3 linked regions of the Arabidopsis thaliana genome follow. The protein of the gene in region 3 purifies or fractionates together with the protein of the main gene of each other region. This does not show direct contact. Each region holds a gene or a part of one and is shown on either strand. Other genes may lie near its edges.

Evidence for each region.
Region 1: the proteins of NRPB8A (region 3) and RPC14 fractionate together in Arabidopsis thaliana (co-fractionation; one large-scale study listed by BioGRID). This does not show direct contact.
Region 2: the proteins of NRPB8A (region 3) and AT1G61700 fractionate together in Arabidopsis thaliana (co-fractionation; one large-scale study listed by BioGRID). This does not show direct contact.

What each region holds. Positions count from the first base shown.
Region 1 is NC_003071.7:12,640,879-12,644,565, reverse strand, and holds RPC14 (RNApolymerase 14 kDa subunit), read right to left. Parts: upstream 1,739-3,687; 5' UTR 1,279-1,738; coding exon 1,050-1,278; intron 929-1,049; coding exon 738-928; 3' UTR 622-737; downstream 1-621. Other genes in the region: TUB7 (tubulin beta-7 chain), read left to right, coding at 1-308; TIM10 (Tim10/DDP family zinc finger protein), read left to right, coding at 2,323-2,361, 2,610-2,662, 2,787-2,858, 3,140-3,178, 3,305-3,374, 3,490-3,540.
Region 2 is NC_003070.9:22,785,433-22,789,035, reverse strand, and holds AT1G61700 (RNA polymerases N / 8 kDa subunit), read right to left. Parts: upstream 2,025-3,603; 5' UTR 1,932-2,024; coding exon 1,896-1,931; intron 1,776-1,895; coding exon 1,717-1,775; intron 1,136-1,716; coding exon 1,041-1,135; intron 950-1,040; coding exon 924-949; 3' UTR 656-923; downstream 1-655. Other genes in the region: AT1G61710 (Cysteine/Histidine-rich C1 domain family protein), read left to right, coding at 1-177; AT1G61690 (phosphoinositide binding protein), read left to right, coding at 2,254-2,367, 2,723-2,891, 2,979-3,603.
Region 3 is NC_003070.9:20,253,146-20,257,204, forward strand, and holds NRPB8A (RNA polymerase Rpb8), read left to right. Parts: upstream 1-1,792; 5' UTR 1,793-1,899; intron 1,900-2,064; coding exon 2,065-2,143; intron 2,144-2,398; coding exon 2,399-2,556; intron 2,557-2,879; coding exon 2,880-2,971; intron 2,972-3,078; coding exon 3,079-3,190; 3' UTR 3,191-3,543; downstream 3,544-4,059. Other genes in the region: AT1G54240 (winged-helix DNA-binding transcription factor family protein), read left to right, coding at 102-155, 252-308, 404-497, 740-823, 921-1,242, 1,318-1,349.

The sequences.
Region 1 (3,687 bases), on a different chromosome or scaffold from region 3:
ACGTCAAATCAACCGTCTGTGACATTCCCCCTACTGGTCTGAAGATGGCTTCAACGTTCATTGGTAACTCAACTTCGATCCAAGAGATGTTCAGGCGTGTCAGTGAGCAATTCACTGCTATGTTCAGGAGAAAGGCTTTCTTGCATTGGTACACAGGTGAAGGTATGGATGAGATGGAGTTCACTGAAGCTGAAAGCAACATGAACGATCTTGTCTCTGAGTATCAGCAGTATCAAGATGCAACGGCTGATGAAGAAGGAGAATATGAAGAGGAAGAAGCTGAGTACGAGCAAGAAGAAACTTATTGAAGAAACAGATGATAAGAACACCTCAACTTCCAGTTGCTGTTTACTTTTAAAACTCTCTTCTATTAAGTTCTTATAGTTTCTGTAACTATCGCTTGCGTTATTAGTAGTTATGATACTCTGCGTAGGCTAAGAGGATTTATCAATCAATATTCAAACAATCTATTTTGCTAAATCAAAATCCATCCATAGTATTTTTTTTCTTTGTTTCATTATATAACCTTTTGTTAATTTTGACTATGTGAATTCGGTGAAGACTTCACCATCTTTCAAATATAAGAAGCAGAGTAGTAGTGACAATGGTTATAAGCAATATAAGAATCTTCTTGGTTAAATTTTGGTGTGGATTATGAATTTGACGAGTCAATTTGAAGGACGAATCTGGATTTAAGATAAAAATAGTATAAACTCCATAGGAGAATACAATGGTTATCAGTTGTTTTCAATGTCCATGGACCCAAATAGATCCCTCTGCCTCTTAAGCTCTTCTTCTTCAGCCTCCTCCTTACGCTTTTGTTCATCCTTATACTCAGCAACAGCCTTATCAAAAACGCTTCTCACATGTCTGTTCATTTGCATGAGCTCTTGACATGCATCTTTAAAAACCTCTCTTGCTGGATCACCTAAAAGCCACAGAGCCAACACGTTTTATGTTGTTAGACACACAGACAAAGAACTCGGATAAGAGTTATCCAAAAAGAACATAGCTTAACTCTGATGAACAGAGTTTTTGAAAAACAGTACCTGTTGTCTGGACCCGGATATTGACCTGTTCAAGGGAAGGATGTGGGATGGTGTATGCAGCCACGGTTACTCTGGGACTGCAGAATTGAAAACAGTACTGGTTATTGACATAATCATCATTGTCTACACACCAGCATATCAACTCCATCAACCTCAAAGATAAGATAATGTGACATTCATTGAATACAATGAGAATCTCTAACAACATAACATGAATGTAAACCAACATTTAATCGAACTCTCAAGTTTCACAATCACAATATAATGGCGAACTTAATGGACCAAACTCATCCAACGAAAGATATCGGAACAATAATGCCTCGTCACTGCTGTCTCTATCTAAGAGCTAATTCTAGACTATCTTTTCTAGTCTCTAACCACAGAACATGAATCTGAATCGAACTCAACCTTCACAATCACCTTATAATGGCACAAACATACAATGTGCACACTGATTATTCAAACAAAATTTGATTATCTTCACAATAATTCTAACCAAAAACAAAGGTAAAGACAGGTAAGAGATTCATTCCTAATGAGGGAAACTATGAACTCAATAATCAGAATTTGAGAGTGTCACGAACTAAGTATGAGATTATAAAGCTAAAGCCTTTCTCTGTGAAAGTGTATAGCTTCTTCTATATATATACATAACAGATTCAAAAGGATTGAAAGAAGAAGATACTTACTCTTGGTTTAAGACGAATCTAACAGCATTAGCAAGTGTGTGATCTTCTTCCGATAAAGTAAACGAAGCATGACTAACATTCGTGAACGAACCGTGCTCCATATCTCACCTTCTTGCTACTCAATTCCTTAACTCAAAATCAAAAATCCACCACCAACTAGAAAACACAGAAAGAGAACGACTTCAATTGAAAGCTTTGAATAGCTAAACAAACCCACAAAGAAAAACTCGAAATTGAAGAAAATTTCAGCAAAAAAAGTTGAGAGAGTAAGAAAGAAGATACCTCCAATAGAAATTTGCTAAAACCCTAAAAGCTTGATTAGTCGGCGACTTTTAGTCGTGGAGAAGCTCAGATACTTTAGCGTAATTACATCTATACCCTTTCGTTTGATGACGTGGCGTGTAATGTCTCTTAAACCCTAATTCGGCTGTGTAGCAAAAGAGAAGCCTTTGTTGTGTTCTTTACCTCTCTTCACGAAATCCCATTTGAGAAAGTAAGGATTTATGATCTTCAAATTCAAGTATGAATTATAAAGTTTCGATTTTTACGAATCATTAATTTTGTATTCAGGTACTGCTAAAAAAATGGCTTCTCCTATTCCCGTCGGCGTTACTAAGGAACAGGTTCGGTTTATTTGCTCGTCCTTTATTGTTAATACATCGTAAAGCTCCGATCTTTGATCTAATTAGACAATGGAAGCTTAAGTTTTTCTAGCTGTCTCTGTGATGACATATAGGTTTCAATGTTTTTGCAATGCTTAGGGTTTAAATTGTATCGTGATTCAGATCTTTAAGCCATTTATTAGATTTGGATTGGTGTTGTCAAGTTTCTCATTTTGCTTTTTTTTTTTGGTGTCTTGGATTTGAATCAGGCGTTTAGTATGGCACAAACGGAGATGGAGTATCGCGTGGAACTCTTTAACAAGTACTGAATCAAACACCCATTTGGTTTATCTTTCGTTATGAAATTCGATTTTCACTTGTGATTGCTTATCTGGTTTAATTTTGTTTTGATCACATTGTTTAGGGCTTCACTTATTTTCAAATAGTGATATATATAAGCTAGAGGAGTATAAGTTTGAGACTGCTGATATGTCGAAAATCCTTAGGCTGCCTGAATTGTTTATCTTGAGGAGGAAATCTAAAATCTTTCTATGAGGAATTCTCGAGTTCTGTGCATATGTATTCAGCTGTTATGTAGAGTTTAAACTTTGATAACATATGACTTAGGTGGTGTTCTGTTAATATTCATTTCCCCGGGCCATTTGTGATTCCTCTGGTTAGAGATTATGAAGAAAGTCACATCTTTATATGTGTTTCTTTTCCTTCTAATATACTTTGTGGTCTATTGTGATTCCTCGGGTTAGAGACTATGCTGACAGGCCTTGTTCTTGTATTGCAGGCTTGCTCAAACATGCTTTAATAAATGTGTGGATAAAAGGTAAACTATTTCTCCTTTTGATGTTCTATAATTACGTCGTGGAACTTGTCTGCAATTGTTGAAACTTTTCTTAGCTGAGAGATGAGTAAGTTGCACCTGTTTTGAGATTCTTTGCCTAATTCTCAGGTACAAGGAAGCTGAGCTAAACATGGGTGAGAATAGTTGCATCGACCGTTGTGTTTCCAAGTACTGGCAGGTAAGGCTCTCTGATACTTCAACAATTAACAATTTGATACTTCAAATCTTCTCATAGTTGACTACTATTATTCAAATTCAATGCTTATGTTCTTTTTCATTAAATTTGTTTTCAGGTAAATGGAATGGTTGGACAGCTTCTAAGTGCTGGCAAGCCTCCCGTGTAATCCAGTTTAAAGGCAATTATTACAGACCAAAAAGCTCATGGAGGGAACACAACTCTGTTCTTTGTTTTTCTAAAGTTTAAGGCAATCTTGTTTTTATTGTCAAGAAAGTTGCATCACATTTTTGGCGCTGATTTGGACAAATTATGC
Region 2 (3,603 bases), 2.5 Mb from region 3:
GTATGTGAACGTAATTTAAGAGACACAAACACAAAAGTGTTCTATTGGTGCGTTGAGTGCTGCACCATTTTCCATATTGAATGCGTACTAGGTAAAAACTCGAATTTGAGTCTAAGCCAAACTCTCAAATTCTGGGTTCAGCGGGCTCAAATTCTTTTAGAAAATCTTAATCTGTAATAGACTAATAGACAATATTTCCAAGCATTCAGTGAGTTATATAGCTCTACCTCTCTATTCAAATGTAATTTGTTTTCTTCATATTTGTCTCCTTGGTTTGTGTTTGAAAAAAAATAAAATAAAAAAAGTCTCCTTGGTTTGTTAAGTTCAGTATATTGTTCAATAAACATATTTCAGAATAAATTTTTATAATAAAAATATATCTTAATAAACATTTGATCCAAAATAAATATATATTCAACTAATTATAGTGTATATTTAATATAAATATTTATATTTCTTTTGTTAAATGGTTTCCTTGAATTAATACAACCACTTGTAACTAAAAAACTTTGATATTCTCCGGTTATAAAATGGGAGCTCCATTCAAATTGTTTTTATGTGCTCTGTTCTCATTACCAATTTGATATCGTACAAAAAGAGCTGCTTCCTACTCGTGATCTAGATTGTAGATTTGAACCTTATCAAATGTGTGATCTTTACTATTTATCAGGATTAGATTACCAAAAACAAATCAATAGATGATGACTCTACAGGCTTGAGCTTTATTTTTGGCTCGAAAAATTGTCTAGATTTCTAAAACCGAACAAGAACATCAGAAAACATTGAAATATCAACATTCCTAGTTATAAATTAAACCAAAATTTCTGAAACATTGTGGTTTTATTAAGACGCCCACATGGATGAGATGCATCACTCCTTCACTTCAGCTCTTGATGATTTGTTATTCATTATAGCATCTTTTTTTAATTGGGGTCGGATTTCTCCATAGCTGCAAAAGAGAAGTATTCGAATAAGCAAGTTAACAAAAAGAATAGAGCAGAGGCAACACAAGGCAAAAGAACCGGGTATGGAGATATTACTGTTGTAGTTTAGAAGCTTTTCGATTAGATCGACATGAGTCATAAGCATACGCCTGCAGCAGTAACGGACTAATCCAAGCGCGTCAAGAGCATCCCTGCGTATTCCAAAACCAAAATTCAGATTTTCAGTTCAACAAAATGCAATTTTAGCATAATGCCTAAAACCAAAGTAGCTAAAAGATTAGATAGAAACAAGAGAATGGAATATATCAGTGATCACCTACCATCATGCTCTTTACTAACACTTAAGATAACATCTATGAACTTCAAGATGATCAAATTGCAACTAAAACAAAAACGAAATTGCGCAATTCCAAATCATGTAGCTTAACACCTAGAACCAAACGGGCTAAAGATTACACTAGCGATTAAAACAAGAAAATCGAAAAATCCCAATGATCTAACTTCATGCTTTTAGTAACAAGGCTAAAACATGTATAAACTTTCAAGATGATCATACAAGACAAGATCATGCAATCTCTTTGACTACACAAAACCATCAAATCATTCTATTGTCATGTTCCACTATTGTTTCATCTTTTACATGACTCTCATTTCAACTAAGAAAATGTCAGAAAACGTTCAAAATTCCAAGATTCAATCACTCTCATGTTCACCAAAAAAATTTCTCACAAATTATGATTCTTTTTCTAATCATAAACTATATATCGCTTACCCTTCAGCGTAATCAGCCTGGAGAAGTTCAAGGTATGTGTCCCATTTGTTCCCAATCACCTACAAAAAATCATAAACAAAAGCTTCATAAATCTCAATACTACAAACCCTAGAGATTTGTCACACACATATATATATAACAAATCGAAATCGTACAAAAAGAGAGAAGAAAAAACAAACCTTTCCACAAGTAAAACAACGAACAGGGACGATCATCGTGAACGAATCGAAACTTTAAGAGTTTATCGTCTCAAAGCGATCTTTAGGGCTTGTCTCTTTCTAACTTCGTTCTCGTCTCAAAGCAAAAATTAGTTTCATGTCTAATTATTATTGCTTTATATATTGAGTCCTATTATGTGTTTTAGCTAAAACGATACCGTATTAGTTAAAATTATTTATTTTATATCTGACAATAGAGGAGGAAAAGTATTCTTCTTCTTCTTCTTCTTCATCTGCTCGATCTTTTACATTTCCGGTAAGATCAAAATCAAAACCAAGTTCGTTTCGCGGCGGAGGAGAAGAAGAATCAGACGGGAAAATGTTGGAGAAGATCGGATTACCGCCGAAGCCATCTCTAAGAGGAAATAGTTGGGTCGTTGATGCTTCTCATTGTCAAGGATGTTCTTCTCAATTCACTTTCATCAATCGCAAGGTCTTCCTCTCTCTTAATTTCCTTACTCTCTCTATCAATTGGTACTTGCTTATTGCTATCGCGATCTTTAGATTCTTAGTTTCTTCGATCGAAATTTAGTTTCGTCTTAGTCGATTCTTCTTCGAGATCTAATTCAGAATCTGTTTATCGGAAAACTTCACTGAATGATCGGTTTCTGGTGATGTGCCTATTTGATAGATTCCATATTTTTGAGTAAATTTGGTGAATCTGGATGTTTTGTGGTTTGTGTATTACTAGACTTGTGACTTGCTGGATTCTTCTATGTCTCCCAAAAACCTTTGAATTTGCTTAATTTTTCTTAGTTTCTGTTGGCTTTGTTTTTTTGAGCGAGCAGCATCATTGCCGGAGATGTGGGGGATTGTTCTGTGGAACCTGCACTCAGCAAAGGTTGTCACTACGTGGACAAGGTGACTCACCTGTGCGTATATGTGAACCATGTAAGAAAATTGAAGAAGCTGCACGGTTTGAGTTGCGTCATGGTTACAAAAATAGAGCTGCTAAAGGTATTTATGTACCTATAGTGATCTTATTTATGACACTTTTGTGTTATCTGCTAGTTTTTGATGTAAAGAGATTGTGAATTTGTTCAGGAGGTAGCTCGAAAAGGACTGTAAAGAATGAGGATGATGTTCTCAGTGAGATTCTAGGCTCTGATGTTGATGTATCTTCTTCATCTGAATCTGTGTCTAGCACAGACAGGAATGCTTCTAAAGAAATGGCAAGTAGCAGTAGTAATAAAGGTATGGAGTTGGATGCTAGTCCTGAAGAATTGCGTAAACAAGCAGTAGAAGCGAAGAATAAGTACAGAATTCTTAAAGGAGAAGGGAAATCTGATGAAGCTCTAAAAGCATTTAAGAGAGGGAGGGAACTTGAGAGAGAGGCCGACGCATTAGAGATATCTTTAAGAAGGAACCGGAAAAGGGAACTGTCTATGCGAAATGTTGCTGAGACGCAGAACAAGGCTGCTACCAAAGAATCTAGCAAATCACAAAAGCCTCTACGTCAAGGGGGTAAAGGAAATGATGATTTGGCAGCTGACCTGAGGGAGCTTGGGTGGTCTGACGATGAAGATAAGAAACCAGCAACTATAAGTTTGGAGGGCGAATTTTCGTCTCTTCTCCGTGAAATTCCGCGAAGTGCTAATCCTCAGAAGACTGGGGGTATTGACAAGAGTCAGGTAATTGCCCTTAAGAGAAAAGCCCTTACGCTGAAACG
Region 3 (4,059 bases):
TTTGTATTTCCCAAAGCCAATTTTGTGGAAATGAGAGAGATCGATCGATGCTTAAAGCTCTGCTTCAACTAATAATGTCAATTTCTTTCTCTTTTTTTCAGAGACCTTCCTTCTTCTCCAGCGGCTACGGATTCTTCAGAACCTTCTTCCTATGCGTTAGTGAATTTTATTGTATTCTTTAGAACCAATCTTTTAGAATTGATCTTTGCTTTTCTGGTTATGTTTTGATTGATTTGTTATCTCATTTTCAGTGAACAGCTTGAAAGGCTCATGATGATAGATTCAGAAGAAGACCGGGGTCCCTCTGGGTTTGTGACCTTCTCGATTCTTTAACCACCAATCTTTGTTTTCTCTGGTCTATCTATGTTTTGATATTACTCTTTTTTTGTTGGTTTTGTTTCAGGTTTACGACTGATGAATTGATCTTTCAGGCTTTAGAAACAGTCTACGAGAATCATAATGGTCTTGATGTCGATGCGATTTTCACTTTTATCAAGGTTAGGAGGATCTCTCTGTCTCTATAAGTATCTGTGTTTCATGGTCATATCTCATGAGTAGTGTATATTGGTTCTGAAATGTGAGTCAATAGCGGGATTACACAATGGAACATTAGGATCTGAAAATTTGACTTCATGTTCCATCCCCTAAAAGTCTTCCTTTTAAAGTCTTGGTTTTGTTGATTCCTCCGTTGTTCTTGATCAACTAACCATCATGTTCTTGTGGTTAATATAAATTGCAGGAAAGGAACGAGTTACAGGAAGATTTTAGGGAGCGGTTGGAAAACCAGCTGAGATATCTAGTTTCTGAAGGCCAAGTATACAAGGTAACTAGTTTTTCAGAGTTGCCTCACACTAATGTTAAGATTCAGTAGTTTTGTTTGATCAGTTCAGAAAAACGGAAAAAAAAACTTGTAAATGCAGGTAGGAAACCTCTACAAGATCCCCCGTGGTGTATTTGATACTCCAGTTGTGTCAGTAGGAGATTCAAATCAAAGAGAAACCATGGATCCAGAAGATTCCACGGGCACAAAGGCACAAGACACACCAAGTACTTGTGCTTCTTTCGCACCACCAACAACAGAAGTAGATCCTCGGATAATCGCATTAGCAAAAGAAGTCGCAGAGGCAGAACACTTGGAGTTGGAAGCAAAAGAGGCATACGAACTTGCAGATAAACACGCCCAGTTGCTAAAATTAGAAAGCAACATAACCTTGCAGTTAGCCGTAGAAATCCTTAATCGATGTAAGTAATGTCCACCTCTTAACCTTTTATCATCATCATCATCACTGACTTTTTCATTTGATTTGGTCCTTGCAGGTGCTAACGGTGAAAAGATTTTCCTGCTGTAAAAGCTTTGACCTTCTGGTCCGGTTCAAGGTGGATATATTCGATCACCGGTTTCTTTTTAGTGTTTTTGGTTTTGAGTAAAAAAAAGAGTGTAGATATGAAATGTGATTTCATTTGACTAACTAGTCATAGTTTGTTACTTTGTGGTTAAATGATTTTGGTTGTGAAGGCAACAGACTATTCTGTTAGTTTTTGTTAATACAAGTTTTTACAGATAATGCCAATCTTAAGAATTGAATAGGTTTTTCTAATACATAACATAAGAAAGAAAAAAAGAAAGTGTGTCATGGTGTCTTTAGCAAGTATTTTTAACGGTCGAGATTAATTTCAAATACTGATCAAGAAAGAAAAAAATTAGTTATGAGAATTACAATTTTATAATGGGCCTCATTGTAAGCCCATTATAAGCTTACATAGGACTTTTATGAGTTTTTGTTCTCAGTCTGTCCCTTTAATTGTTTTTTGGCTCTTCTATCGCCCATCGCTTGGGAGATTAAAGTCTGAACTTTTTGATCTCAAGCTTCTCCATCTCTCCCTCAACTCAAGCTCCTGGTTCGGAACTATTTACTTTCCTATGCGATTGGTTGTTTATAAGTTGATTTCAGAGTTCGGATTCTTGTACTCATTAGATGTCCATATAGGTCTTGTTTACTGGTTTAATTGGGGTTTTATCAAGGAAATAAAGAGTGTTTAGGGTTTGAATTTCCGTGTTTGCAGATGGCGAGCAATATCATCTTGTTCGAGGATATCTTCGTGGTCGATCAGTTAGACCCTGATGGCAAAAAGTTCGATAAAGGTATACACTTTATTAGCCTCACTCACGATTTCTAGTACTTCTCATGGCTTACATCGACGTTTGTTCATAGCTGTTTAGTTCATGTATGTATTGTGAATGAGTTCTTCCGTTTATCCTTTTTTGGTCTGAGTGTGTGGGTTTTGTGGAAAAATTTAACTTTTTAAGTTTTTAGTCTCCCCCAAGTTTTGTTCTGTCTTCAGATTGAGTGGCTTTCTCTTAAACCTACAATGATTTTTGTTGTGTTTGTGGTTACAGTTACTCGCGTTCAAGCTACGAGCCACAACTTGGAAATGTTTATGCATTTAGATGTTAATACAGAGGTTTATCCATTGGCTGTTGGTGATAAGTTCACACTTGCGTTGGCTCCTACGCTGAATCTCGATGGAACCCCTGATACCGGTTATTTTACTCCGGTAATAAACTCTACTGCTTTTTATTTAGTTGTTTTGTTTTGAGTATATACACAGTCTCTTGTTTGCTTGGCCAAATTTCCATGAATGGTAACTTTGAACCCGTATCTGGATTTTGTTAGGATATAACTGTTAATGCTGCTAAATGGTTGATATTATAACTCTGTTGGCTGATTCGAGAAGCCTGTCTATCTAGGAATAAGAGGAGACATGGAATTTTAACAAGCTTTAGTTCTTGAATCTTCAAGATCTAAATTTGAAAACCAAGAATGTGTATGCATATCTAAACATTAATCTTATCTAGTTTTCATCTCGATACATTACAGGGAGCAAAGAAAACACTTGCCGATAAGTATGAATACATAATGCACGGGAAGCTTTACAAGATCTCTGAGCGTGACGGCAAAACTCCAAAAGCGTAAGAATCCCATATAACCCCCCCATATCAAAATAATTCAATCCAATTCAACTCACATATCAAACCATCATGTTTTATTTTATTTTCTTTAAATTATGTGTTTCCAGAGAGCTATATGTTTCGTTTGGCGGCCTCCTGATGTTGCTTAAGGGAGATCCAGCTCACATTTCTCACTTCGAACTCGACCAGAGGCTCTTCCTACTCATGAGGAAGCTGTGAGGTGCCATTTTTTCGGATAAAAACTGAATTAATAGAGAGCTTGATCTAATGTTTAACTTTTACTACTTCAACTCTTGCAATTTTCATGAAGCAACTCTTGTGCAAAAGCAAGTTTTTCCGTTCCGTTTTAAATCCCATTCCACAAATTGACTGCTCCGGTCCGGTGAAATGTACTATTTGTAGCTCTAAGCTATTGATGAAGATAAGCAATTGAGACCAAGAACATAACAAAAAACACAGACAAAGACACAGTTTTTTTTTTGGTCAAGGACACAGTTTTGTTTCTTCTCTAACCAATTTTCACTACACTCTTATCTTCTAACAACAATATGAAGCAATAAAGCTCGAAAAATAGATTCTGAGCCAAAAATAGAGTGTTTTCTCTAATCCATGCTTGTGTTTTCTCTAGTCCATGTTTGTGTTCTTGCTTCTTTGAGACTGGGAGAATATATCTTGGACGGTCGAGATTAGTCTTAAAAATTCTGAACAGATCAAGATTTAATTTTAAATCTGTATAGTGGGCCATGTTTAGGCCCAATAAAAGCTTTTGATGAGGCCTTCTAAATGGTATATATTTCGACTTGAAGAGAAAGAAAAAACAACTAGAAAATCGGAAGAATAAATGGACGGTGGAAGAAGGAAGCCCTTCTCGCCGGACTAGCCAAGCACGGTTCCGGAAAATGGACAAGTATTTTAGACGATCCAGAGTTCGCGGCTCAACTTCTAGATCGCACAAACATTAACCTCAAGGTAATCGAAAATTCCCAAAATCCCATTCGTCTTCCATGGAAATCGATTTTTGAGATTTATTATGTGGAATTAGGTCGAAATTTGGGTATTAATGTTGTATTGTTTATTCTTATTGCCCA